Cricetulus griseus: one gene and its partners. The protein of the gene in region 5 interacts with the protein of the main gene of each other region in a pairwise test. Links are inferred from orthologs where the notes say so. Each region holds a gene or a part of one and is shown on either strand. Other genes may lie near its edges. The genes, in order: Necab2, Dtnb, Synj2bp, Fbf1, Ushbp1, Fam110a and Prc1.

Region 1 (3,500 bases), on a different chromosome or scaffold from region 5:
TGCTTTGGTATAAGGAGTGAAACCCAGGGCTAGAGTGGAGGCTGACCCAGGGCCCCAAGAGTCCCAGGAGAGGCCGGGGTATTATTTTTGACAACCTGTGATAATCGGCAGCCCTTTCCCCACCCTGCTCCCTGGATCAGCTTTCTCATTGGTCCCATCTACTCATGATATGGCCCATAGGCTTTGAGAGGAATATTGAGCAGCCTGGTTTGGTGGCATAGGTCTGTAACCACAACACTCAGGAAGATGAAGCAGAAAGATCATGAGAGTTCAAGGCCAGCCTGGGTTACATAGTGCAACCTTGTCTCAAAATAAGGAAAGGAAACAGCATGGTGGGCAGGCAGGTGGCTCCTGCTCCAGCCTCTTTGAGGTGGAGTTCACCATACCAGTGCTGAGCATGCAGAGGGGGCCACAGCAAGTGTTTTGGGGACTGCTGGGAGGGTCAGAAACTGGCCTGCTGACTCTGTCTCCCTCTCTCTCTCTCCATTTCCTCCCTCCCCCCCTCCCTCCACAGCCATGTGGACACCAAGGAACTGTGTGGTAAGTTCCGGGATCTACAGCCACCATGGTGTGGACAGGAATACCCAGAGGAGGGCAAATCAATATGGACCTAGGTGGGGCTGGTGGGAGGGCCCCAGGGAGAGGGTGGAATCCTCTGTGACCCCTGACCTTTGCAACCTCCTTCCCCAGATTACTTTGTGGACCACATGGGAGACTATGAAGATGTCCTGGCCTCCCTGGAGACCTTGAACCACTCGGTCCTGAAAGCCATGGGCTACACCAAGAAGGTCAGTGGGTATGGGGAGTGCACTCAAGAAGCTAGGGCCTGAACGCCAGTCTAGGTGTTTCTGAACATTGTTGCTCAAGGGTGTCTAGCTTTGTGGTGACAAGTGTTGGCAGGGCTCCTTGCAGAGCCAAGACAAACCACATAGTGAGAGGATGACCTTGGTGGATAGCCCTGTCCCCTAGAGTGTGTGCCAGAGTGTGAGGGTCTTTCCCAGGGTCAGGCTGGGTCCTGGTGTGGATAACTGGTGAGGGCAGGAATCCTGAACGATGGGCTCCTTCAAGAGCAGTGCAGACCCAGGGATCTGGAAATGGGAATTTAGGTTTTGTCTGTCTGAACTTGACCCAGGAGTGAACTGGTGTCCCCTAGTGGCTGGCACATGTGCAGTAGAGGAAGGCCGAGTTGATCTGGTCAGTGACCAGGTTAAAGGACTGGAGTCTCACTTTTTGTTGTCTGTGAAGTGGAAGTGCCCATCTTGCAGACCTTGACTGAACTAAACACCAAACTGTTGAACACAGAGCTACGTAGGTAACACCAGCTCCCTCATTTCCTCACACGAAGCCTGTGCCCTGCCTGCAGCAGACTGAAGACCCCTTCTTGCCATGCACCCTAACATTGCTGAATCTGCCCCACCCCCTGCACACTGCCATTCTGGCATTGCACTGTCAGGAGTCTTGCTGTTTGCGAATATTTTAAGACCTTGTGAGAGCCACTCTCAGGGGATGAGGGTATGTTCATCGTTGCAGTTTTGCGGCAGCCCCCAGTGTCCCCTGGTGGCTGGAGCATTAGCAGGGTGTGCTAGGCAAGTGTGTCAGCCTGGCTGTAAGAAGAGGGGAAGATGGATTGTGCAGCAACACAGTCCTTGACCCTTCCCCTCCTATCCAGGAGCAGAGCCCTGTCCCAGTAAAACCGTAGAGCATGGAACCTCACCATCCATGAGGGAAAGGAGCCTCCCAGGAGGCTCAGGCCAGCCTTAGTCATGCTGCCACAAGGATTGTACATGTAGCCTCAGGTGATCATGGTGATTTCAGGTGATTCCGGAGCATCCTTGCTGGGCCTGGAAATGGTAGCTGACTTTTTTTTTTTTTTTTTTTTTTTTTTTTTTTTTTTTTTGCCTTCTTTGGTATCTCCTAGCTGGCCTGTTTGAAGAAAGGCAGCTTGCTGATGATCTTGAATGCTTTCCTTGTATGCTGGTAGCTTTTATGTCAGTTTGACATAAGTTAGCGTCGACTTGATTAAGAAAATCCCCCCAGAAGATTGGCCTGTTGAACAAGCCTGCGGTGTATGTTTCTGGATTGATGATTGATGTCAGAAAGCTCAGCTCACTTTGGGTGGTGCCACCTATGGACTGGTGGTCGTGGGTGCTATAAGAAAGCAAGCTGAACAAACCATGGGGAGCAAGCCAGTAAGCACCACCCCTCCATAACCTCTGCATCAGTTTTTGCCTGGGTTTCTGCCCTGACCTCTCTCAGTGGACTGTGATGTGGACATGTAAACTGAAATAAACCCTTTGCTCCCCAGTTTGCTTTTGGTTATGGTGTTTCATCACAGCAAAAGAGACTCAAAGACCCCCTGTGATCCCTGATTGAGGCTGACTGCTTTGATTTTGTGACGTAATAGTCTCTGTCATGGTTAGCTGGGTTAGTCTCCTGCATGGTGACGAATATGGGCTCCTCTGGTAACTCTGTTGCATGTGACATATTCTCCAGATCCTAACACATCACAATGATGCAAGGCCCCAGCTTTTCAAGTACATCTAGAGCATCTCTCCACTAATTGCAATATTAATGCCAACTCTTATTTTAGAAACCTCTTCAGTTCAGCCTGTGCAAAAATATGTTTCGCCTTCCCCTTTGTTCAGTCTTGTCTTGGGTGATAGCAAGGAATTTGCTCAAATGCCTGTGGGTTTTTTTTTTTTTTTTTTAATGATCTGATGATTTTGCTTCAGCTATCGATGGGTGGATTCTATTTTTAGATTCTCTCAAATTGAATAGTCAGTGCTCTATGATAAACTTCCATCAGAGCATCATTCTTTCATCATCTCTCACTCAGTTCTGTCACCTACTGAGTGTCTTCTCTCTGCATTGGGAGTTGAAGTGGGAAGATGGCCTGGGGAGCAAACCATGTGACTAGGGCATCTCCTGTATGATGCGCCATCCCTAAAATGTATGGATGTTTTTTTTTTTTCTATTTAAAATCAAAATGTATCCAGAACTCTTGGGTCAAGGGTCTAAAAGGGTAGTGACTATTGTCATAGGTCTTACTGTTTTATGTGTGAAGTGTTTTACCTGCATGTACATCTGTGCACCATGCGTGTGCCTAAAGCCCACAGTAGCCAGAAGATGGCATTGGGTCCCCTGAAACAGGAGTCTCAGATGTGAGCCACCATGTAGGGCTGGGAATCAAACCCCAGGGTCCTTTTCCAGAACTCTTAACCACTGAGCCATTTCTCCAGACCCTGTAATAGGTGGTTTATAGCAAACCCTAATTTTTAAAAAATATTTATTTATTTATTTATTATGTATACACTGTTCTGTCTGCATGTTTGCCTGCACACTAGAAGAGGGCACCAGATCTCATTATGGATGGTTGTGAGCCATCATATGGTTGCTGGGAATTGAACTCAGGACCTCTGGAAGAGCAGTCAGTGCTCTTAACCTCTGAGCCATCTCTCCAGACTTGGAAAACCCTAATTTTATTCGTTTCCTTTTTGGTG
Region 2 (3,946 bases), on a different chromosome or scaffold from region 5:
CCAAGTGGGTTTTTTTTTTTTATCTGAGTATCTTATAACCAAGTATGCATTATGAGCTACTTGAACTACTGAAGTCCAAGAGCTGCCAGGCACAGAGACTCCAACGCAAATGATACCCCTAAAACTGGACAGCATACAACCAGAAACCACAGCTCTAATGTATATGTAATTTGAAATAAGTAAAATGGGGTGGGCTGTCCTCAAAGATAGCATGAGTTAATCTTCTGGTGATACAAATGTATATATTTTGATTGGGATAGTTTACACAGTTATATATGGTTTTCCTTTGTTTTTGTTTTCTTTGCAGAGGGCTTTTGTTACTGTTTCCCTTTTGATTTTACTTTCTGTTGAAACAGTCTCCCCATGTAACCCTGGCTAGCCTTAAACTCACAGTGATCAGCTTGCCTCTGCCTCCAGAGACCGGGATTTAGACATGTGCCACCACACCCAACAATATGTATGGTTTTTTAAAACATCCAATTCAACATGTAAAATCTGCCCCTTTTATCATATGCTAACTATGTATCAAGAAGGAACAGTAGCGCACACCTGTAATCCCAGCACACATGGGCAGGAGGATAACTACAAGCTCAAAGTCAGTCAGGGCAACATAGAGAAGACCTCTATCTTAAAAACAAAATCACAAAAAAAGTTTGTTTTAACCATGCAGGGTGGTTCACTCAGGAGACTGAGGAGATGGCCACAAATTCAAGGTCAGCCTATATCCTTGGCTACAGTATATTGAGTACCAGGCCAGCTGGGTTCAGCAAGACACTGTTTCAAAAGGGAGGGGGCACTGATTTTGAAATAAGTGTAAATTAAGCATCTAGAAAATATTAGGAAAGCCTGAAACCAAGGTACCAAAAATTACAGAGCCACGTAGACACCCCAAAACAAAACTTACTATAAACTTAAAGGTTGCATGCTCACTAACATGAAATAAAAGTGTTGCTTCAAGGCTCACTATATATTCAACGCCAAATTTGTACTGATATTACTTTCATTAGATGAGGAACTAAGGCTCAGATATGTTAACACTGAAGACATGAAATAAATGGTAACTGGAAATCTCATGAACTCTAGTATTTTAACTCCAAGTAGAAATTCTGTCTTCCGGGAAAAATTATTGAACATCATGACACCGCCAGCACCACCTTGACTTCACAACCTCCTTCAGAGGCAGTTCCACTTATGTCTGATAAAAATCCTCAGAGAACTCATAAAAGGTCAAGTTTTAATTTGGCAAGCAAAGTAACCCAACAAGCACTGCAAGCCAGAGGAAGGGAACAGCAGCCTGGGGCTGGAGAGTCCAACACCCTGGAAGGTGGAGGACGGAACTCCTGCCCTTACAGGACTGACCAGACATTCTCTCACCTCAGCATTCTGTCACCTCAGAGCCCAGACCCAAGAGGCAGAATAGAAACTACAAGTGTTCGTAGCAAAAGCATACTCCATCCTCAAAAAAGCATAACAAAAACAAACAAAAAGCCAATGAGAGAAGGACCAGAACCGGATCTCAAGAGACCACCCAAAGAGCAAGCGCCTGGTACCCAACATGCAAGAACCACGTGGATGTAAAAGACTGGCCACAAGCCACCGGAGTCTGCCACCCAGGCCACTGTTTTAACCTACCCAGTGCCTAAAACCCTGGCTACCCGAGGCAAAAAGACGATCTGAGGCCCAAAGAAGTCCACCAACCACCCCTAACTCTAGAGAGGCAGACACTACTCCATATAAAATGTATCAAACCCCTGCTTCCTCCAACACTCATTCAGTGGACATCAATTCTAAGACTACTGGGATCCAGGCCACATCCTGAGGACTAAGCTTAACTCTAGTTGAGAAGGCAAGGTTCTCTTTAAATTTTCCTTTCCCTCTCTTTTAAATGTCACTAAGACCCTTCCAATCTCTTCTCAATAACTCCCACCAGCTTCCCTTGAGTAGCCTACTTTCTCCACAAACCAAGCAACTTAGGGATCTTTTTTCCCATGGTTTCCCATGGAAAAAAGACTAAAGAGGCTGAAATGACCAGGACAAGAGACGAGAAATTGAGCGCTTTACATTTTATATGCATACTTTCACGGCCCAACTGTCAGCACTTGAGCAGCAAATGATGGCTGGGAGTGACTGAGTCGTGACCCCGGGGCTGACCGCGCTTGTCTCCTGCTCCGTAGCTAATCAATAAACGCTTTGCAGAGAATGCTGGAAGGTCTCCCTGATTCCCCAAGGCCTGGCACGGGGAATGTAACCGTAAGCATTCGGCAGCCGCATCCTCCCGTCTCTTCTCGGGACACTATACCCATCAAGGGTGACCTGGGTGGACAGGTTCGTCTACCGGGAGACACCGAGGGGGCGATCTGGAATGAATTCCCTTCCCTCTGCCAGGGCCTGCCTGCCTCACCTGCCCTCTGCCAGGACCTGCCGCCTTCGCCCCCTTCAGCACCTAACCCGGAGCCTCCTCCCCGCAAGCCGGGCTCCCGCTGCATCAGCAGGCGCGCGCAGCCCGGCTCTGCGCCCCGCCGCCACCGTGCGCGCGGGTGGCCGGAGGACCCCCCCTTCCTCTCTCCCTCCCCGGCCCGGCGTGCCGTCTCCCAAGGGTCGCAGCTCCACGGCCGCGCGCTCCGCCACCCCGCAGGCTCCCTCCTCGCTCCTCCAGCCCGGGCGGAGGACTCCCCACCTGGCTCACTTCCCGGCCGGAGCTGAGGGGGCGTCGCGTGGCTCTCCGGCGGCCGCAGCCTCCTCCGGCCCGGCCCCCTCGACTTGAGGCGGCTGAAGCAGCTGCAGCGGCTGAGGCGACGGCGCCCACTCAGGCCCCGGAGCCGCCCCCACGGCGAACGTTCCCGGCGCCGGCTCGCGCCGCTTCCCCCGCCCGGCACGCGCAGCGAGCCCGCCCCCGGCGCGAGGGCGCGAGGCGCGAGGGCGAGGGCGGGTGCGCGCGGAGGGCCGGCGGGCGGGCGCGCGAGGGGCGGGGCTTCCGCCACGAGAGGGGGCGGGGAGGCGGCCGCGTGCCCTCCCGCGGGTTCGCGCGCCCCCTCCGGGCCTCTGCGGTGCGCGGGCGGCGGAGGCGGAGGCGCGCTTCCACTCCACAGGTAGCTGCCCGGCGGCTGGATGCTGCGCCGACGTGACTGCACCGTAAGGAATGCCAAGAAACACCCGGTGAATGATTCACCCGCGCCTCGAGCGCGGGCTCCTGCCCCGGGTGACTTTCCACATTGACTCAGCAGGCTCACTGAGCACTGACTCCGCGTCTGGTGCGCCGTGGACATGCTCTGGGTCACAGGCCCCTAGGCCCCAGGAGCGCGTAACTCAGGGGGAAGAGCAGCCTTGCGAGGACCGAGTCCGGTCACCTGCGAATAGCCAAGCCACAGCCGGATGCTGTGAGAGGATAAGGGGGAACAGATTACTTCCGCTTAGCTGCGCGGTAGTTCCTGAAAGTGGGAACGTTTCGACTTGCTAAAAACAGCTTGGGCAAAGGAGCAGGGGCCGGTCAGTTCATAGTACCATTTTTAAAAAGGATTGATGTTTTTATGTTATGTGTATAAGTGTTTGGCCTACAAGTATGTGTGTTCATCACACACGTGCGCCCCCCCCCCCCGGGAGACCAGCAGAGTGAATTGGATCCCCTGGAACTGTGAGCTGCCCTGTGGGTGCTGGAAAATCGAACCCAGGTCCTCTAATAACATCAAAGTGCTCTTTAACTGCTGAGCTATCTCTCCAGCCCCTTATATGTTTCTTGGTTGGTATTTTTTCCAAGATAAGGTTTTAGTGTAACAGCCCAATCAGTCCTGGAACTCTCTTTGGAGACCAGGCTGGCCTTGAACTTCGAGAGATCCACCTTCTGTCTCCTGGGCACTGGGATTAAAGGCATGCTCCAACATGCCTGACCTCATGGTCCCATTTTTTTTTAATAGAATCCTTTCCAAACTCTTTAGGAACAGCTAAGTCT
Region 3 (4,143 bases), on a different chromosome or scaffold from region 5:
GGGCACTTTCCCTAGCTCTAATGCTTGATGGAAATACTAAGAGTAGAAACTTTAGATCTGTAAGAAAATTGCTTAGAAATTAGACAATGCCCATTAAAATGCCCAGAGGTTCAAACAGTGATATTATGTTGAATTTAGTGCTTAAACAAGAATAATAATATCAGGAATCTGCTCTCATCGGAAGACCCTGGAAATACTGTAATACCACTGCAAAGAGACTATATCATTAGGTCCTTACCATTAGGCAAAAAACAACCTCAAACATCATAAAAAGTAGTATCATGCAAGTATATTTAAAGAACTAGATGTCATTATGTACTTGCAAAGCAATCAGAAAGGTGTATCTCAACTGATCCTAAGAAGAGAAGATGAAAAGTACACACAAAAAAATGGACTTTTATTTAAAGATCTGAGGCTGCTGAGTGAGATGGCTCAGTGGGCACAAGCACTTGCCACCAACTCTGACAACCTGAGTTCAATCCCTGGGACCCACATGATAGAAGGAAAAAACTGACTCCTGAAAGTTGTCCTCTGAGTTCTACAGGCCTCCTTGCCCCTCACACAAATAACTAAATAAATGCAATAAAAATTCAATTTCTACCATGCTAGCCTAAAAAGTAAATAAATATTGAGAGAATAGTTTTCTAAAATAGGACAAATTCAAACACTTGAGCATATTGAAAAGTCTTTGAGCAAAAGTTTTTGAGTTTATCTTAGGTTTTCTATTGCTATGACAAAACACTGTAACACAAGCAACTAAGGGATGAAGTGATTTATTTAATCTTACACTTTCAGGTAACATTCCATCATAAAGAGAACTCCATCAGGAGCCTGGACGTAGCAACTACAGTAGCGCTACTTACTGGCTTGCTCATCCTGCTTCCTTACAATCTAGGACCACGTGCCCAGGGTGGCACTGCCCACCGTGAGCTGATCATCAAACATCAATATCAATCAAGAAAATGCTCCACAGGCCTGCCTACGGGCAATCTGATAGAGGTATTTTCTCAATTGAGGTTCCTTTTCCCAGATAACTCTATCTTCTGCCAAGTTGACAAATGAAATAAAAAATAAAATCAACCAGCACTGAGCTTCTGTATAAACCACAAAGATTAGCAGTGTGTTACTCCCATAAATAAGACCAACTTCCAATTTTCTCCCAACAGGAAGACAAAAAGTATGACTAATTCTGAAAGTTGTGTTTTATACAGAACACTCTATCAGTAGTGATTAAGTTATTGCAAACTTCCAGATGAGAAAAGTTGACAGAATATTCTAAGTAGAATAAAAATCCACAGTAACCAATGATTTATTCAACTCTTGGAATACTGTATTTAGCAGAACTTACTGGGGTCAGTCTAACCATTCATTCACTAATGATAACAATAATAGCAAATACACATTGCTTACCATATGTCAAGACAATGTTCTAAATATTTCTCAGGGCGTAACTGGCTTCATCCTAACACTATATGTCAAACACAATGCACTTCATAACCATCTCCACTCTACAGACAAGAACCTATAGCATACATCAGTTAAATTACTCTGCCAATGAATTAAAACCAACCAGACAGACTGACAGACAAACTGGTAAGTTGTTAGATAAAAACTTGGCCATAAGTAGTTAACCCTAAACCTAAAAATAGTCCAAGGGAGACAACAGCACTATGTAGTCATGTTTAAAGGCCAGTCTGGCGCCGGGCGGTGGTGGCGCATGCCTTTAATCCCAGCACTCGGGAGGCAGAGGCAGGCGGATCTCTGTGAGTTCAAGGCCAGCCTGGTCTCCAGAGCGAGTGCTAGGATAGGTTCCAAAGCTACACAGAGAAACCCTGTCTCGAAAAACCAAAACAATAATAATAATAATAATAATAATAATAATAATAATAATAATAATAATAATGCCAGTCTGGCCATGAGCAGCGGTGAGGAAGACACAGCAGGGCTGAGTGGGAATTTTCCTGTCAGAATCACATTTAGTATTTAAAGAATTGTTTAATCCATACTGAATCCATATCCCTAAAAATGAAACTAGAAAATAGCCTTTTCGTTTTAATTCATTATAAAAAAAAATGTAAAAACAAAACAAGCCCAAGTAATTCTGGGGTGGCGCTAGGTCTGGAAACTTCTGTAGTGGGTATCCTCCTGCTTTAGCATTCCAGTTGACACTGTAAACTAATTTCCCAGAAATGCAGACAGGGACCCTAGCACCAGGGAAATTGCTATGCATTCAGAAAACCACGCCGTTTACCGCTCTCGTTTTTACCTGAACGGGCCCTCATATAAACAAGGATGATCCAGGCAACTGAATAACGGATGTGGCGTCCACTACAGGCTGTCTAAGCAGCGGCCGTTCGTCTAGACTTTTCTATTACTACCAGCAAACAGAAACCCTTCCTGGCCCTAAATGCCTGCGGCACTTTCCCTGGGTTGTGAGGCCGAGTCCCAGGGTCCGTTATCTAGCTAACAAAGGATGCCAATGGGCTCTTTCGTCGTGCCCGACGGCGTTCTTGGAAGCAACTTGGTCGGGCCGGCCTGCTCTCCAGCCAGTAAACCTGGCTCCGCAAAACCAACGAGCTCAGCAATGACTCCCTCCACGTCCCGCGCCTACCCGAGGGTCCTCTCGTCAGGTTGATCTCTTCCTCCGTAACTATATAATCCACCCGTCCGTTCATGTCTGACGGCTCACCGGGCGGAAGCCCGGGGTCAGCTGGAGCTCCGCGCAGGTGAAGGTGAATCAAGCTCCGCGCCGCGTCCCCAGCATAGCTTTTACAGTTTCCTAAGCCGCCGGACCGGAAGAGGAAACCGCGGGCACTGGGAGCGCCAAGGATGCTGGGAGTGGTGGTTCTCCGCGCCCACCAGCGTTTTCCGTTACCTCGCCCCATTCCCAAGGCAGATCCTGGGGTGCCATGAGTAAGGCACAATGCTCACCTACCTTGGGAAAGCATGTGGGAAGGAGGGCACGGAAAGAGGGTAATAAAGTTATGGTTCGTAATTAGATTGATACTGTTGATATTTTAAATAAAATCTCAAAATATCCACAAATGTAAAAAAAAAAAAAAAAAAAACAGGAGGATTTTATCTTATGAGCTTCAAACCATACTGGGAAAGGCATCACGGGCAAACTACTGGTGAGATTGCATATTTGGGCAGAAAGTTGTACCTTTTCCTTTTGTGTGACGTGGGTACAGCCCAATACATCCATGCCCCGTGTAAAAGAACTTGATAACACTGTGTCATGTTCATTCGCTGGCAGTTCACTCTGTGTTAATATAATTTATCTACAGGGGGAAAAAATACAACCTATCTCCCTCCCTCCCCCACCTCGTGTGTGTGTGTGTGTGTGTGTGTGTGTGTGTGTGTGTGTGTGTGTGTGTGTGTAGTGTTCACTGCTTAAAGCAAGGCACCTACACTGACACACATGACAGGAAACTGGAGCACCATACGACTGACAAGACACTTTGTTTAAAGTATTTGCTGCAATATATTCCTGGTTTGTGTCTTTAGCAGGCTTATCTAACTTAAGAAATGTGTATACATACAAAGATACAGAGAAGGGATTAATTAAATTATAGGCTTACTCAAGAAAAATACTCCAAAGCAGGGGTGGAGGGTGTGGAGGTGGGGGTGGAAATGTCATTTTTTTGACAAGATGATTGCAGGACTTAAGATGTGACATTCCTAGCCCTCTTGACTTTTGAAATAGGACATTCCAAACAGGTTGAAGGAATTTTCAAACATCAAAAGATAAAAAAAAAGCCTTAGGAACCAGGAAGGTGACCATAAATGTATATAGGGTGAAAAAAGGGATTGGTTACTGGAGATGTTAGAGAATTGAAGAGTGAATATCACCATAAAGGTATTCTACCTTACAGTTAAAAATCGAGCCAGCAACCACTGTTAATTAATCAAAACAAGTCAGAAGTGGATTCTATATGAATGAGACAGGATGGGAAGACAGGGAACCTATGAGACATGGGAGGGGCATCATCTCAGAGTCTGAGTAAAACCTCTTGCCAGATGAGCAAGGACTCTATCATAATTAACATTTGCTGCAAAGGCTACTGACATGTAATTAACATTTATTTTCTGCATAGATATTGTATGAAAAATTGGCAATGGCCTAAGCTTCAGATCTCAGTT
Region 4 (3,500 bases), on a different chromosome or scaffold from region 5:
GCCTCCTCTGAGGGCAGACAGTCCCGCCGGCAGTCGGTCAAGTAAGTGGGGCTTCAGGGAGGTCAGCCTTGGGGACAGGCCTGTCCCTGCGGCCTTCCCAACCTCACCCTACAGCCATGAGTCTACAGTGCTAAAGTGAGAGGGAAGCTAGGAGCTCCTAACAGTCCAGGCAGAGCTGGGTAGACTTGCAGTCTCCAGACCCCTAAACTCCTCAGAAGGAAAAGGAAGAGGTGGGCCTGCTTTTGCTTGAAGCTCTGAATGCCATGAAAGGCTGGTATGTCACTTGGTCTCCCAGAGAAACCACAGCCCAAGGAGTTAGCACAGCCACCATCCTGAAGCCGTAGTGGGGATCCCTCTAATAGCTTCCCAGACCCTGCCATTGGCCATATCCTCATGACACACGGCACATTTGCCACAGAAACAGACCAGCAGTGAACTTTCCGGAATGTGTAATTTTTCTCCATGTATATGTTTTTTGTTGTAAAAGGATTTATTTGTTTATTTTGTGCATATGAGTGTTTTACCTGCATGTATATCTGTGCACTGTACACAAACCTGGTGCCTGAGGAGGTCAGAAGAGGATGTCAGATCCCCTAGAGCTCGGGTTCCCGGGCTTATGTGAAATCGGACCTGTCTTTTCCTGCCCTTTTTGTTGTTGAGACTGGCTGGCCTCTAACTCACTGTGTAGTCAAGGATGGACATTGACTTTATCCTCCTGCCTTCATTCTGGAATGCTGGGTCAGCAGGTGTGGATGGACCACCATCCTGGTTGGTTGTGGCACTAGGGATGAGCTTAGTATATGCTAGACATGTAGTCTACCAGCTGAGCCATGTCTCTAGCTGCTGTGAGATGGTCACTATTGTTAACACTATTTTGACATAGGGTCTTTGTAGCACAGGCTAGTTTTGTACTACAGGCCAGCTTTGCACTTATAGCAGTCCTGGGTCAGCCTCCCGAGTGCTGGGATTACAGGTGTGAGCTACTGTGCCCAGTTTGCTGTGGGCCAGACGTGCACCCCCCTCAACAGCAGAGAGTAGGACTGATGGGGGCTAACAGGGTGTGCTTCCTCCCCTGCCCAACACCCGCCTCTCTGTCTTGAAGCAGGTTCTTGGGAGAAGGTGGCTCAGACCTTAAGGGGGACCTTAAGGGGGAAGCCGGCTTCAGACACAGCCCTCCACCAGCTTCCAGCCCTGCCCACCCCAGAAGAGGAGGAGCTGACTGGCTAGGCCTTAAGGACGATGACCTGGACCTGCTGTCTTCCTCTCCTGTTCAAAAGGTTCAACAAGAAGACTCAGCCATCTCCACACCCTCTCTACCCCCTCCTATAAACCAGCACTCAGCCCCAGAGCCACACCCTGCCCCAGTTGGATTGCCCTCAGCAGCCAAGCCAGCAGCTAAGGGTGTGAGGCCCTCTACCAAAGCCAGCCAAGCCTCACTGAAAGCCTCTGAGGAGAAAGAGGATGACTGGCTGAGCCATGTCATATCTCAGAAAAAATCCCAGGGTCTAGCCAGAGAGGATCGTGCTGAGCCCTCTAAGGGTCTGAACTCACGGGGATCATTGGGTCAGACCCCTTCTAGCAGGTATGAGCGTGGGCTTCTACGGTTGGCGGGAAGGATCTGGCAAGGTCTGGGGGTCTAGCCTTGCTCACCTCACCTGTTGCATCCTTTGTTAGAGATACTAGTGTGGCCACTGATGCCGCCCCAGCTTTGCTTCTCTTCCTTCCGGGCACAGTAGAGAGCTGCCCAGATGCAGACAGACAGGCCGGGGGCTGCTAACACTCATGCCCTGGCTGCCGTGGGGACAGGTGCTGACTGGACTGGGCAAGGGAAAACAAAGGGTGTTTGTGGTAGCAGTGTCCCTGTCCCTCTTCTCTGAGCACAAGCGCTGTCTGCAACACCAGTCAGACCCACTGTGCCGAGTGTAGGTTTCGGTCAGCTTGTGTTAAAGGTAGCTAGTGCATGTGTGAGTGAGCTTCCCATGGCCTCTTGGAAGTGTTTGAGTAAATGTGGAAACTGGGAGACAGCCCCTGAGCACCACAGAATGGCCATCCAGTGAGGCTGGGGGTGAGTGACCCCTGTAGGCAGGAAGGGAAAGGGGCTGACAGGCCAGGTCCTAGGAAGCAATAACAAGCCTTGCAAGCAGAACCAACAGGAAGAGGTTGTGTGAGCCCAGGGACACCACCACTGTGTCCTAGATGTCCTAGAACTGGTGTGTTGGGGGAGAGCAGTTTTGATGTTGACCTGAGATGAGAGGGAAAGCTGATGACCTGAGAACCAAGAAAGGAGGGAAAAGAATACAAGAGAGCAATCAAGGGTAGCTATGGAGACGGGGTGACCCAGCAGCACCAGAATCTAAGACTACACAAAGCATGACAAGGCTTGGGCTTGGACTTAACTCCAGTGTGTGTGGCATGCCCATGGTTGCTGTGTTACTGAACCATGATGGATGCTGAGTTGGACAGCAGGTCCTAGAAGGGAAAGGCAGCCCACAAACTGCAGGAGTCCTCCAGCCTGGAAAAAATTCCAGAAAAGTGGTGGGAACAGAGGCAGAAAGGGGAAGGAGTGGTGGGAACAGAGGCAGAGAATGGAGTGGTCGGAATAAGCAGGGGAGAAGTGGTGGGAACAGGCAGGGGAGAAGTGGTGGGAACAGGCAGGGGGAGAAGGCTGCCAGAGCTTCATGCTAGGAGCTTGTCTGGGGTTATCTTCATGTAGCTCACTACCAGTCTTCACCTTTAACATGGACTTTCCTCAGCCAATCTGTTGCTGGCACTCAGGCCCTTGAGCAGGCCATTGCTGAAGAAGCCTCAAGAACAATTCCACAAGGGATCGCAGCTGGCAGGCCTGGTATCACAGGGTATGTCCAAAGACAGGGCTGGGAGGGCCACCCTCTGCTTCCTTCCCTGGCTCACTGACTGTTGTATTCAGCATCTATGCCTAGCTGACAGATGTCTGAGACACATATCTGTTGCCCCTTTACCAAGCCGCCAGTGCAGCCAGGTCCTTCACCCCAGCAGAGCACCAGCCCCTAGACCTCTGCATCCAGCTGTTTGAATCCAGTGCTTTTCTTTGCTTCCCCTTCTCTGCCTCTGTCTCACACAGAAGCTGTTCAATGTGCCCTCATCTTTATGTCCCCAGGTCCTCCATGCGTTGGAGCCAAGCCACTACTGTCCTCCCTGTAGGTGACCCCAAGACAGGAATGGTCTCTGCCTCTGGGGACTTTTCTAGCAGAGGTTTGTTTCCGTCTCTGCTTGGAGTTTAGCCCTGGGTGAGGAAGAGGTACCTTGAGCTCCTTTGGGAACTCTGGAAGATCCTCGCTATGCAGTCCTCTGAACCTCCTCCTCTTTCTCTGCCGTCACGTTTCCAGAGCCTGCACTTTATGTTCCACGCTCCCAAGAACCCACGGGGCTCTCTGTGCCAATCCAGGTAGGGAAGGTGGACAAACAGGGTTAGGTCTTGGGCCCAGTGAACAATTCTCCCCTGCTCAGAGGCAACTCAAGGA
Region 5 (3,500 bases):
AGTCTGATCCCCCATCACCTGCAGGTGCTGGAGCTAGAGGATTCCCTGAGGCAGCTGGAGGCCTCCCCGGCTGTCCTCCTCCTCAGAGCGGGGCATACCAACAGCAACTCCAGCAGTTCTGGGGCAGAAGGGGAGCCCTGGGTGCCTCAGGTAAGCCAGAAGTCTTTAGAGCATGTCGTGGTGATGTCCTCTGCTTTTCCAGTGTGAGAGGATGGGGGTAAGCTTCAATTTGTGCTTGATGGGATCCCATAGTGTTGTGTGACAAAACTTTTCCTGGGGAGACACTATACACGTCAACTCATCCCATATAGGGAGCCCATGTTACACAAAAGCACAGACACAGCCAAAGTCCAACTTGGTGGTTACATACAGGATTACGGGTGAAGGGTCACCTACAGGAGCTGAAATGACTCAGAGAGCTGCATCACCAAAGCCCACCCCAGCATGGGTGACAGCTCACAAAGCTGGAAGCCTGGAGCACACTGCACAGCCTGCAAATTGGAGTATGCCATTCCAGTGACTGGTCTAAATCTCTTCAGCACAGCTGGTCTGGTCTCTAGTCTTCTTTGCAGCCAATCAGCTGGTCTCTTAAGAACTTTCCTTACTCTGGCAGGGAGGGACCTAGTGAATCTGCTCAGTTTCAGGGACTTCCTGAAACTGTTTGGAGTTGTTTATCATCCTGCCTAAGGAGCAGGTGGAATGTTTCTATCTCAGAGGAAACTGTTAATACAACACATAGTGTGAAAAAAAACCTAAGCAGAGCCTGGAGAGATGGCTCGTTGGTTAGGTGTGCTAGCTGCTCTCACAGAGGACCAGATCTAATGCCCAGAACCCAAATGGCAGCTCACAATCATTAGTAATTCTAGTTTCAGGGGATCTGACGCCCTCTTCAGGGCTCCACAGCCACCAGGCATGCACATGGTGTACACAGAAACTTGCAGGCAAAACACTCACACACATGAAATAAAAATAAAAGAGAAAAAGCATAAAACACCAGATTGGTTGTCACCCCACAGTCACCAGCTGCTTAGGGGCCTGAGACAGAAGGATCGTGACCAATAAATTTATCAAGACCCTGTCTCCAGATTAAAAAATAATAATAAGCATTGGTGAGATAACACAGCTGGAAAGGGCACCTGCTGCCAAGCCTGGTGATCTGTGCTCAATCCCTGGAATTCCCAGAGTGGAACCAGAGAACTGAGTCCCATAAGTTGTCCTTTGACATCCATTCATGTGTCATAGGCATACATCCCACACACGTGTGCATGCACACACACCAAAAACACAAACCAAAGCTGCAGTGGTGCCCCAGATATATAATATGTTCCAGGGCCCTGCAAAAAGGAAGAATGATGGGTAGTAAATCAAGTCATGTACTCCTGGCAGGACTCCCCCTTGGCTCATCCTCTTCTCCAACCCCTCCAGAGTGACTCTAGCACCCAGATCTTTGGGTGCCATTCCAAACATCGTTCAGCCCCCGAGATGCACCTTATAGAAGATCAGATGGAGCAGCTCCAGGGGTGAGTGGCTGAGTCACAGCTGCTGAGCTTTTAAGGGCATCATGCTTCCCGCTACTGGGTTGTGAGGGGGTGGGGAAGAAACTGGGATCTAGCTGATTGGACCCTCACTCATCTTCCCTCTTGCCTGCCTTTGGAGATAGGAGCATTGAGAAGTTGAAGTGCTTCAATCGCCTCCTGCTGGCTGTGCTCCAGGGCTACAAGGGCCGCTGTGAGAGCCTCAGCATGCAGCTGGGCCAGAGGGAGGCTGAGGCCACAGCCCTGCGCCTGGCCCTGCAATATAGGTCTGTGTCTGCTACCAATGATGGTGGTGGCTGGGGACGAAATGGGGCTGCATCCCAGGATGGCCCTATGCAGAGGGACATGGGGACTTCAGAAAGCACACTGCCTCACCATGAGATCTTGTTCTAACCCATAAACTATGGAGGGTGGGAGCTGTCTTTTTGTGGTTTGTTGCTATATATTTATTTGAGACAAGGTCTCACTGTGTAGCGCCAGCTGGCCTGGAACTTGCTATGTAGCCCAGGCTGGCTTTGAACTCACAGAAATCTGCCTGACTTACTGGGTTGGGGCTGAATGTTGAAACACTCAAATGCCATCCACAGTGAGGATTGTGAGGAGGTATATGGGGTGCTGCTTGCTCTGAGGATGGCTGACTCAGGAGCTGGAGATGAAGCCCCCAAGAGTGACCTGCAGGCTGCTGAGAAGGAGGCAGCTAGGCTGCTGGTGGAGAAGGAGGCAGCTATGGATGGAAAGACACCCCAGCCCAGGTACTTACAGGAAGCATAAGAGCTATGGTGGTCCACGGGGTGGGGTGGGGCATGTCCCAGAGCCTGCTACATATAGGATTTTGATGTCATTGTCACTGTCACTGCCCAGGGAGGTGCTGAGTTCATCATGGCTGGCACCAGGCCTGACTGGAGTGTGTTAGTTACTCAGTGGTGCTTAGTTTGCCTGACACCAGGTGTGGTGACAACATGCCTTTGATCCCAGCACTCAGGAGGCAGAGTTTGAGGAGTTCAAGTCCAGCCTGGTCTACATAGCAAGTTCTAGGCCAGCCTAGACCTTGCCTCATATGTGTGTGTGTGTGTGTGTGTGTGTGTATACATATATATGTGTGTATACACACATATATATATACATATATACATACATACATACATATCTTATACAAAGTACCAATTGCCTTGCATAGATGCACAGACCCTGGTTTCAACCTCTAAAGCAGGGGGGGAAATCAGTGAAGAGAAAAATTATTAATTTTGGTCAATCCATCATGGCAACAGGAAGTGGGAAGCAGAGCTACAGGAAGTGTCCGGGGCATTGGTGAAGCCCTGTGTGGACTTGACAGGGTTAGCAATACAGCTCTAGGTACTGTCCATCACAGTGCTGGTGAGCTTCTGGTTTTGTCTCTGCACTGCCAGTGCAGCCTCAGTGTGCACGGAATTAAGTTCAAAGTCCCCTGGTGGCCTGATTAGCATGTAGGCTCCACCACCTGGCTATGTAACTGAGGGTGATGCTCCTGCCTCCATCTCCTGAGGCTGGGTTGTATATATGGTACCTCACGAATGCAAGCTCTCTATGGACTGAGCAACAAGCACTCTACTGACTGAGCCCCAGCACCTGCCATATTATCTTGCTGGAAGATTGCCCAGCTGGCACAGGACTGTGGTGGCTCCTCGGGCCGTGTCTTGGGAACAGCTGTATAACACCTGTCTCCACCTGTCTCCTATAGCCCAGGGGGCAGCAGTGTTGACAAGCCTACGCCACAGGAACTAGCTGCTCAGCTCCATGGCTATGTCCAGCGTCTCCGGGAACGCTGGGCTCTGGTGAAGATCCCTCCACCTCTTGGCCCTGCCACGGCACCCAGGCCCACTATGCCCCACACAGAAGCAACAGTTCAGGCCATTCTGGAGATACAGCCTGGCCCAGCCCTGCCCCGGCTAGAGAAGTCTGAGATCCAGCAGAAGCTGGTGGCTATTC
Region 6 (3,500 bases), on a different chromosome or scaffold from region 5:
CTGTACTAGGCGGTGGACGAGGAGGGGTGGCTGGTGGGACCTTGTGGGCAGATCCTTCTGCCCGTCCAGGCGTTCGGCTGGCCTCAGCTGGGGACACGGGACTATCACACAGGTTGATGAGACTGGTAAGGATGTCAACGTCCAGCTGGGGCCTGCGTCCAGGACAGGGCAGGGCTCGGCGGCTGGGTGTGAGCACTGGCCCACGAGCAGCGCTGAAGAAGGGCTGTCGGGCTAGCGGGGGCTGCACAGGCTCCTGGCGGGTGTTGGCCACATGAAGGCTTTTGACGTACTTGGCCTTGTCAGCCTCCAGGCGTTCCACAGCACTCGGCTTCCGGGCTCCCGCAACTGCTGGCCTTGGTAGCAGGTAGCTTGGGACCTTGGTTCGCAGGCGAAAAGGTAGGGTGGGAGCTGCAGGGGCTGCAGGGCTCAGCGTGTCCACGGGCATGGCAGTTACATGCCCCGAGGGCCGAGGCGAGGAGACAGATACAGGCACAAAGTTGGCAGCTGGATGCCGGGCTCCGCTGCAAGCAAGGAAAGAAGACAGGCTGAGCACGTTCAGACAAAGGCTCGCCTGACTGCGAAGCCTGAGCTATTATAAGGTAGAGGGCACGCCTCTGCCTCGCGAAGAGCCAATCATCAGGCAGAATGTACTACTGGAAGTCCTGTGGCCCCACCTACACCCTTTCCCTCCAATAGTGGGCGGGGACCCGCACAGCTGAGGGAGGGAGGAAAGAGGTTGAGAAGGCAGGTCCGTTTTAAAAAGAGCAAAGGAGGCTCAAGGCTCCAGGCTCAGCTCCAGGGTCCTCTCAACAGCCCCATTTACGGATAGGGAAACTGAAGCTCGGGGAGGCAATGAACTTGCTTAAGCCTTCCCTTGCTCCCCAGATAGGAGGTACTAGTGACCAGGCAGTTGGGGTTGAATGACCGCCATCCACATCCCACCTGAATTGCCCAGAGGAGCCAGATACCACCAACATCCCACAACCAGCCCAGGCAGGAAGCCTCGCAGTGCCAGACTCCTGCCTGGACATGCCAGGCCCACAAAGGGCACAAAAGCAGAGGCTGCAGGGGAGGAGCAGAAAGATAGTCCACACCCCCACCCTAGTGGAGCCCAAGTAGCTTCCAGGATATGGCTCCAAGGCCAAGCCCACAGAGATCAAGGCACGCAGAGAGGAGTAAGCATCAGCCCCAAGCTATGCTGTGCAAAGAACTGTCCAGGTCACAGCACCACCCAGAGCTATGCTGCTGACCAACTACCATGAAGGTGAGCATGGGCTGTAAGGCTCATGCCTGGGTGCTCATGTAGTCCCATACTTGTCCAACAGAAGATCATCCCAGGCATCGAGAAAACATGGTTAGAAAGTGCCACAGTTCTCCCCCACCACCCAAGCCCCTCAGAAACGTAGCAATGTAAAACCCAAGTTAAACTTTCTCATCTGTAAAGAGGGGGGAGGGGCTTAGCCTGGGGGCTACAGACACTTGGCAGTTCAGGTCACCCAGCACCACTAGCTCCTGAATCATACCAACCATGCTTCAAGTTCTCCATGGGTGCATGGAGGCTACTATGCTAGACAGCACTGAAACCGAGAGCATGCCTAAACACAGTAAAAGCATCACCGAGACATACAGACATCCCATAACAGGGATCCCCATTGTGTGCCAGACACTCAAAGCCGCACTCTCTCGTATCATCTCCAACAGCCTGGAAGCCACTGTCACCATTTTGTAGCAGGGAAAACTGAGACTCTGAGAAGTGACTTCCCTAGATCCCAGAGGAGATTAAAATGGTAGTCCCATCATACAGCTTTTCCACACACTATGGGCACACGCGCGCGCACACACCACACACACACACACACACACACACACACACACACACCTGCTTCTTCTCTCACTATAGCCATGGGTCCCATAGAACTTACTGTGGATATGGTTCTCTCTTTGTTGTCCCCCACTCCCTAAAGTATCAGCTCCATGAGGGCAGAAGTTTCGGCTGCTTTGTTCACTGGGTCTCAGCTTCATGGTGTGGCTCTCAATACATGCTAAATAGTCCACAAGTGTGTCCTGAACTGAAAGGCCTGGGTGGGGGGGATCAGCTGAGAACCAGCACCACAGTGGGCTAGAGAAGCCTCACCCACTACAGACAGGTGGGTCCAAGGTAAGGGGTGTAATGTTCCCAGGGCTGGCGATCCAGAGGGGCAGGGGCTCTCTAGGTCTGTAACTGTGAGCAAATTCCATCCCCATTTTTAAAAGACTACCTGTACCAGGCAAGCATAGCATATCTGCAGACATACCTGCTTTCCCCAGCACCCATGGAAACCTCAGTACAGTAGTGGTGTGGGGGCTGGGGATAGGGCTGCTCTCAAGTCTCAAGGGGCTAGTAGGAAGGAAAGGAAGGCTGGCTCCACTCAAGTAGACCCCCCAGGTAACCTTGGGCAGGAAAGGTCTGGCCAGCAGAGCTGCTCCGGAGCCCTGCCAGACTCTGCCCCACCTCCCTAACCCCCCACGTCTGCTCTGCCACCCAAACCAGTCCAACCCGTTGGTAGTGGTTGAGGCAGTCCCTCCCAAACATCACCTGGGAAAAAGGAAGGAGGTCAGAGGGGCAGGGCCAGGGCAGAAGCTCCCCGCCACCACCACCTTGCTTCTATACCCACCACCTAACTCTAGGTAAAGATGGGGGCGGGGACAGGTGCCTGTTGCCAAACTTGGCCTGGTAACCACCTGGGTGCCCACTTTCCCACCAGCCCCTGCCTTGCACCTTGCACAAGAGGCAGCTCTTAACAGACTGTTGTTCCCTTATCTGTTCACCGGAGTTAAAAATAGACTTCCCTGTGCCTTCGGGTCACCGCTGGAAAGATCAAACGGGTTCGTAGCACCTGGAAATGGCCAGCGCTCCATAAATAAACCAGGTTGGCTGACATATACTGAGGCTCTGACTGTGGAGTGTGCAGACCCGCCCCCTCCGAGAGTCTTCTAAGCACGATCCAGAAGGGCGGATCTAGGCCCCAGCAGACACAAAGGAGACATCTGGCAGGGGCTGATCACAATGAGCCAGCAGACCCGCACCAACTCACGTCACAGGGGCCTCTCAGAGAGGCAGCCTGGGTCCGGGTCGCCAAGTGAGATTTAACGTCTCCTCTGGGGACTCTTCTCACCATGGGTTTTCAAATGCTGCCGCAAACGGCCCTAAATGCATAAACCTTGAGCCTTTCTGGTCACAGTTCCAGAACCCGACTTTGTCCCTCCCTTCAGGTTCCCAAAGAACGGATCAGGCCACCAGGAAGGCCCCAGTTTGGTTTCGGTTCTTCCTCACTTGGAAGAAATCCTAGAGACTCTAGGGGCAAGCCTTGAGGTGAGCAAAGGCTGTGTGACCCCCATGATCTGCTGTCCCTCTCTGAGCAGAAGTTGGCCCACGTCTGTTTCGAATACGGGGACTGAATCCACAGTCCCTGCTGCGCTCCCCCCTCCCCAGCACCGCAACATACCTGGCTACCCAAGCC
Region 7 (3,500 bases), on a different chromosome or scaffold from region 5:
CCCAGAACCCACATGGTAGAAGAATAAAACCAACTCAAGGAAGTTGTCCCCTGACCTCTACATGCCAATGGCATGTGCACAACCACACACCCACAATAAATTAAAAAAAAAAAAAAATCATACCACTAACAATAAAGATCTCATGTTTTAAGAACTTTATAACTTTTTTTAAATCTACTTTTATAAATTTAACTTTATTACTGTTGTTTGTGTATAGTAGGGGAACATGCACTTTGCCATGACATGAATATGACAGTCACAAGACAGCTTTATGAAGTTGATTCTTTCCACTCATTCTTAGGTGGGTTCTGGAGATTGAACTCAGGTCAGCAGGCTTTTACATGATAAATGCTTTATCCACTGATATCATCTTATTGGCCTGATCTCTTCTTACTCACCAATATCAGAGGTTAAAACTAGGACATTGCTGGGCGTTGGTGGCGCACGCCTTTAATCCCAGCACTTAGGAGGCAGAGGCAGGAGGATCTCTGTGAATTCAAGGCCAGCCTGGTCTACACAACGAGTGCCAGGATAGGCTCCAAAACTACAGAGAAACCCTGTCTCGAAAAACAAAACAAAACAAAAAGCCAAAACAAACTAGGACATCATGTTAGTCAAACTTCTACCACTGAACTGCATCCACAGTGGTTAGATTAGTTTTATATCAATTTACAGGTTGGACATTTGTGTATGATGGTGCCCAACTCTAGGCAGTGTTTTGTGTGTATGTATAATAACCAAGTGTAAGCTACAATTTCCAGTAACTGAATTGGATCAATTGTACAATTTTCTAAAATTTATGATGGCTTTATTAGGATGTAAGTCTAAGTTAAGAAGCAATTGTAAAAATAGCTGTGTAATCATCATGTCACCTAGCTAACTCCAGAACTCATCTCATCTTGCAAAACTGAAATCATTTTTGGCAAAAGGTCCTCATTTTATGCTCCCACCAATCCAATCTATTTTGTTGAGTCTGACTGTTTTAAACACCAGAATACTTTTGCAATACGTGGATCAGAAAGCTTACTTTGGTTAGCTAGAAGATGATATATCTAGTTCTTATTAATAGAATACTTACACTAAAAGTCCTATGAACATCTCTTTACCAATAACAATCAATTTAGGCCGGGCGTTGGTGGCACACGCCTTTAATCCCAACACTTGGGAGGCAGAGGCAGGCGGATCTCTGTGAGTTCGAGGCCAGCCAGGTCTATAAGAGCTAGTTCCAGAACAGCCTCCAAAACAATACAGAGAAACCCTGTCTCAAAAAACAAACAAACAAAAAAACCAATCAATTTAGTAGATCCTGCTCTATTCCTAGTAGATTAAGAAGGGAATAGAGTGGTTGGTAATTATATGTTCTACAAATAATATAGTTTCATTTAGCATTGTTAAAAACTTGCCATATATTCAAGGAAGACAGATGTACCAGTGTAGTCCCAACTTCTCATATACCTAATTTCACATTGAGAGTTTAAGAAAAAAAGAGAAATTTTATGTAGCAAATCCACGTCATTTATGTTAATCTCCGGAAACTGCTCTAACGTCATGGTCTGCTTGAATGCTCTTGACTGCCAGGGATCAATTTTCCTTACCCTTCAAAGGTGGTAAGTTTTTCCTTTAACAGTAAATGGAACATGAGAACCGTCATCATTCCTTTTCAAAGCTTCCTATGTGTCCCAACTTTTCAGAACCATTCTGGATGGTTCAGTGGTATGCAGTTTTTGATTATTAAAAGAACCACAAAGGTTGAATTTTGTTTGGTACTCCTCCTTTGTATCACTAGGTATCCTTGCCTCCTATGTACCCACTTTATTCTGTGGGGTGGATAGCAGCACATACATATATGTGAACAAATGGATGGAAGACGGAGATCAACTTTTGGGTAATACTGTACAGCTTGTTTTTTGTTCTAAAGAATTACTAATAAGGGTATAAGCTTCTCTCCTGCATGTATTTAAGTGTACTGCATGTGAACCTGGTACTCTAGACTGAAGTCACTAGAGGGTGCTGGACCCCCTGGAGTTGGAGTTCAGGACAGTTGTAAGCCACCACATGTGCTGGGAACTGAAACCAGCTCCTATGCAAGAGCACCACATGTTCTCAACTGCTGAGTCTTTGTCCAGCTGCTATCTTGTTTTAAGTTTGTGTTTTTGAGACAAGGTCTCTCATTGGTTTGAAGCTTAAGCCTCAGAGATCCACCTATCTCTGCCCCTGCCCCCCAGTGCTGAAGTTACAAGCATATGCCACCATTATTTTTTTCCCCTTGAGACAAAGTTTCTCTGTGATGCCCTGGCTGTCCTGGAACTCACTCTGTAGGCCAGGCTGACCTTGAATTTTCAGAGATCCGCTTGCCTCTGCCTCCCAAGAGCTGGGATTAAAGGCGTGAGCCATTATGGCCTGGCAATCTGGCTTTTTTGCAAGGTTTATGAGGCTTGAATTCAGGTTCTCATGCCTATGAGGGAAGGACTTTACCAATTAACCCATTTCTTCAATGTCCCCCTACCCGCCTCTTTCAAACAAAGATTCATGCCACTTTTCCCCTCAAAATTAAAACATTATTATGCTCTATAAAACTGAAATACAGCAAGAAGTGTTTGATAACCTATTAGCTATTTCATGTCAATAGGGTAACTATCTTTCACATTTCTCGAGTCTATCTCCCCTCCAAGAACGCTTTCCATTTACATTGCTAAGTTAAAACATAGTCATCTGTCTCAGACCCCAACCCACCCCCCAAACACTCTGTATTGCCACACCTGAAATGGCTTCACTTGTAACTCATTGCACAGGGTACTCAGCTCCTTCTGACAGAAGGATATGCTTTTGAGAAGCCGTTCCCTCAGGCTCTCCTCTTCAGCAATCATCCTATCCAGAAGATCCTGTGTGAGAGAAAACAGTTGGTAAAGGTTTGGCGCCACTGAGAATAAAACAAAACACAACAAAACCAATTAGCATCTCAAAACTCACATAATTTCAAATTTTGCAGAAGAAGCTTTAAATAAAACCAGGAAGAGTCTGTGATATCCTTGTCTGAACGACCAAATGTTATTATTTTTATTATCTATTATTATGTGTGAGGAATGCAAATGCCATAGAGTAAGTGTAAGGAGAGAAGACAACTTTATGGACTCAATTCTCCCTGTATACCTTATATGGATGGAGCTCAGGTCTTAGGCTTATATCATGGAGTTGCAGATGTCTTTACCTACTAAGTCACCTATCCAAGTCCCCAAATATCACTCTGTCTGATGTCTCAACAAGGCAGCAACATCCCTACCTCCTGGTCTCACTGCAGAAAGACCAGTACCACTCAACTCACCTTGATATGCTTCTTCACAACCTCGGTTCTTTGTAATCTCTGTTCCTCTGGAATCCCAATTAATTCCCATATTTCCCGAAGGTGAATCAGAGCTTTCTGGAGGCATACGATGGACTCCTCTGCTAGCACTTCACTGAAAATCAATATAAAACCATTTTACTTATAATAGCTAGCATCA

The links.
Region 1: the proteins of Ushbp1 (region 5) and Necab2 interact in binary tests that used the Homo sapiens proteins (3 or more experiments, as listed by UniProt). The two-hybrid records come from large-scale screens. The link is inferred for Cricetulus griseus from reciprocal best matches to the Homo sapiens genes USHBP1 and NECAB2.
Region 2: the proteins of Ushbp1 (region 5) and Dtnb interact in binary tests that used the Homo sapiens proteins (3 or more experiments, as listed by UniProt). The two-hybrid records come from large-scale screens. The link is inferred for Cricetulus griseus from reciprocal best matches to the Homo sapiens genes USHBP1 and DTNB.
Region 3: the proteins of Ushbp1 (region 5) and Synj2bp interact in binary tests that used the Homo sapiens proteins (3 or more experiments, as listed by UniProt). The two-hybrid records come from large-scale screens. The link is inferred for Cricetulus griseus from reciprocal best matches to the Homo sapiens genes USHBP1 and SYNJ2BP.
Region 4: the proteins of Ushbp1 (region 5) and Fbf1 interact in binary tests that used the Homo sapiens proteins (3 or more experiments, as listed by UniProt). The two-hybrid records come from large-scale screens. The link is inferred for Cricetulus griseus from reciprocal best matches to the Homo sapiens genes USHBP1 and FBF1.
Region 6: the proteins of Ushbp1 (region 5) and Fam110a interact in binary tests that used the Homo sapiens proteins (3 or more experiments, as listed by UniProt). The two-hybrid records come from large-scale screens. The link is inferred for Cricetulus griseus from reciprocal best matches to the Homo sapiens genes USHBP1 and FAM110A.
Region 7: the proteins of Ushbp1 (region 5) and Prc1 interact in a two-hybrid assay, tested with the Homo sapiens proteins (2 studies listed by BioGRID and IntAct). The link is inferred for Cricetulus griseus from reciprocal best matches to the Homo sapiens genes USHBP1 and PRC1.

Annotation. Positions count from the first base shown.
Region 1 is NC_048596.1:196,088,030-196,091,529, forward strand, and holds part of Necab2 (N-terminal EF-hand calcium-binding protein 2), read left to right. Parts: intron 1-514; coding exon 515-540; intron 541-690; coding exon 691-788; intron 789-3,500. UniProt on the Homo sapiens protein: May act as a signaling scaffold protein that senses intracellular calcium.
Region 2 is NC_048600.1:14,466,751-14,470,696, reverse strand, and holds the start of Dtnb (dystrobrevin beta), read right to left. Parts: upstream 2,801-3,946; 5' UTR 2,678-2,800; intron 1-2,677.
Region 3 is NC_048598.1:122,173,588-122,177,730, reverse strand, and holds the start of Synj2bp (synaptojanin-2-binding protein), read right to left. Parts: upstream 2,801-4,143; 5' UTR 2,676-2,800; coding exon 2,612-2,675; intron 1-2,611. UniProt on the Homo sapiens protein: Regulates endocytosis of activin type 2 receptor kinases through the Ral/RALBP1-dependent pathway and may be involved in suppression of activin-induced signal transduction.
Region 4 is NC_048600.1:128,734,343-128,737,842, reverse strand, and holds part of Fbf1 (fas-binding factor 1), read left to right. Parts: coding exon 1-41; intron 42-1,102; coding exon 1,103-1,582; intron 1,583-2,753; coding exon 2,754-2,855; intron 2,856-3,136; coding exon 3,137-3,231; intron 3,232-3,365; coding exon 3,366-3,424; intron 3,425-3,500. UniProt on the Homo sapiens protein: Keratin-binding protein required for epithelial cell polarization. Involved in apical junction complex (AJC) assembly via its interaction with PARD3. Required for ciliogenesis.
Region 5 is NW_023276806.1:247,616,872-247,620,371, reverse strand, and holds part of Ushbp1 (Usher syndrome type-1C protein-binding protein 1), read left to right. Parts: intron 1-24; coding exon 25-150; intron 151-1,386; coding exon 1,387-1,520; intron 1,521-1,660; coding exon 1,661-1,801; intron 1,802-2,122; coding exon 2,123-2,287; intron 2,288-3,252; coding exon 3,253-3,500.
Region 6 is NC_048599.1:28,044,669-28,048,168, reverse strand, and holds part of Fam110a (protein FAM110A), read right to left. Parts: intron 522-3,500; 5' UTR 446-521; coding exon 1-445.
Region 7 is NC_048596.1:117,306,059-117,309,558, forward strand, and holds part of Prc1 (protein regulator of cytokinesis 1), read right to left. Parts: intron 3,456-3,500; coding exon 3,323-3,455; intron 2,883-3,322; coding exon 2,760-2,882; intron 1-2,759. UniProt on the Homo sapiens protein: Key regulator of cytokinesis that cross-links antiparrallel microtubules at an average distance of 35 nM. Essential for controlling the spatiotemporal formation of the midzone and successful cytokinesis.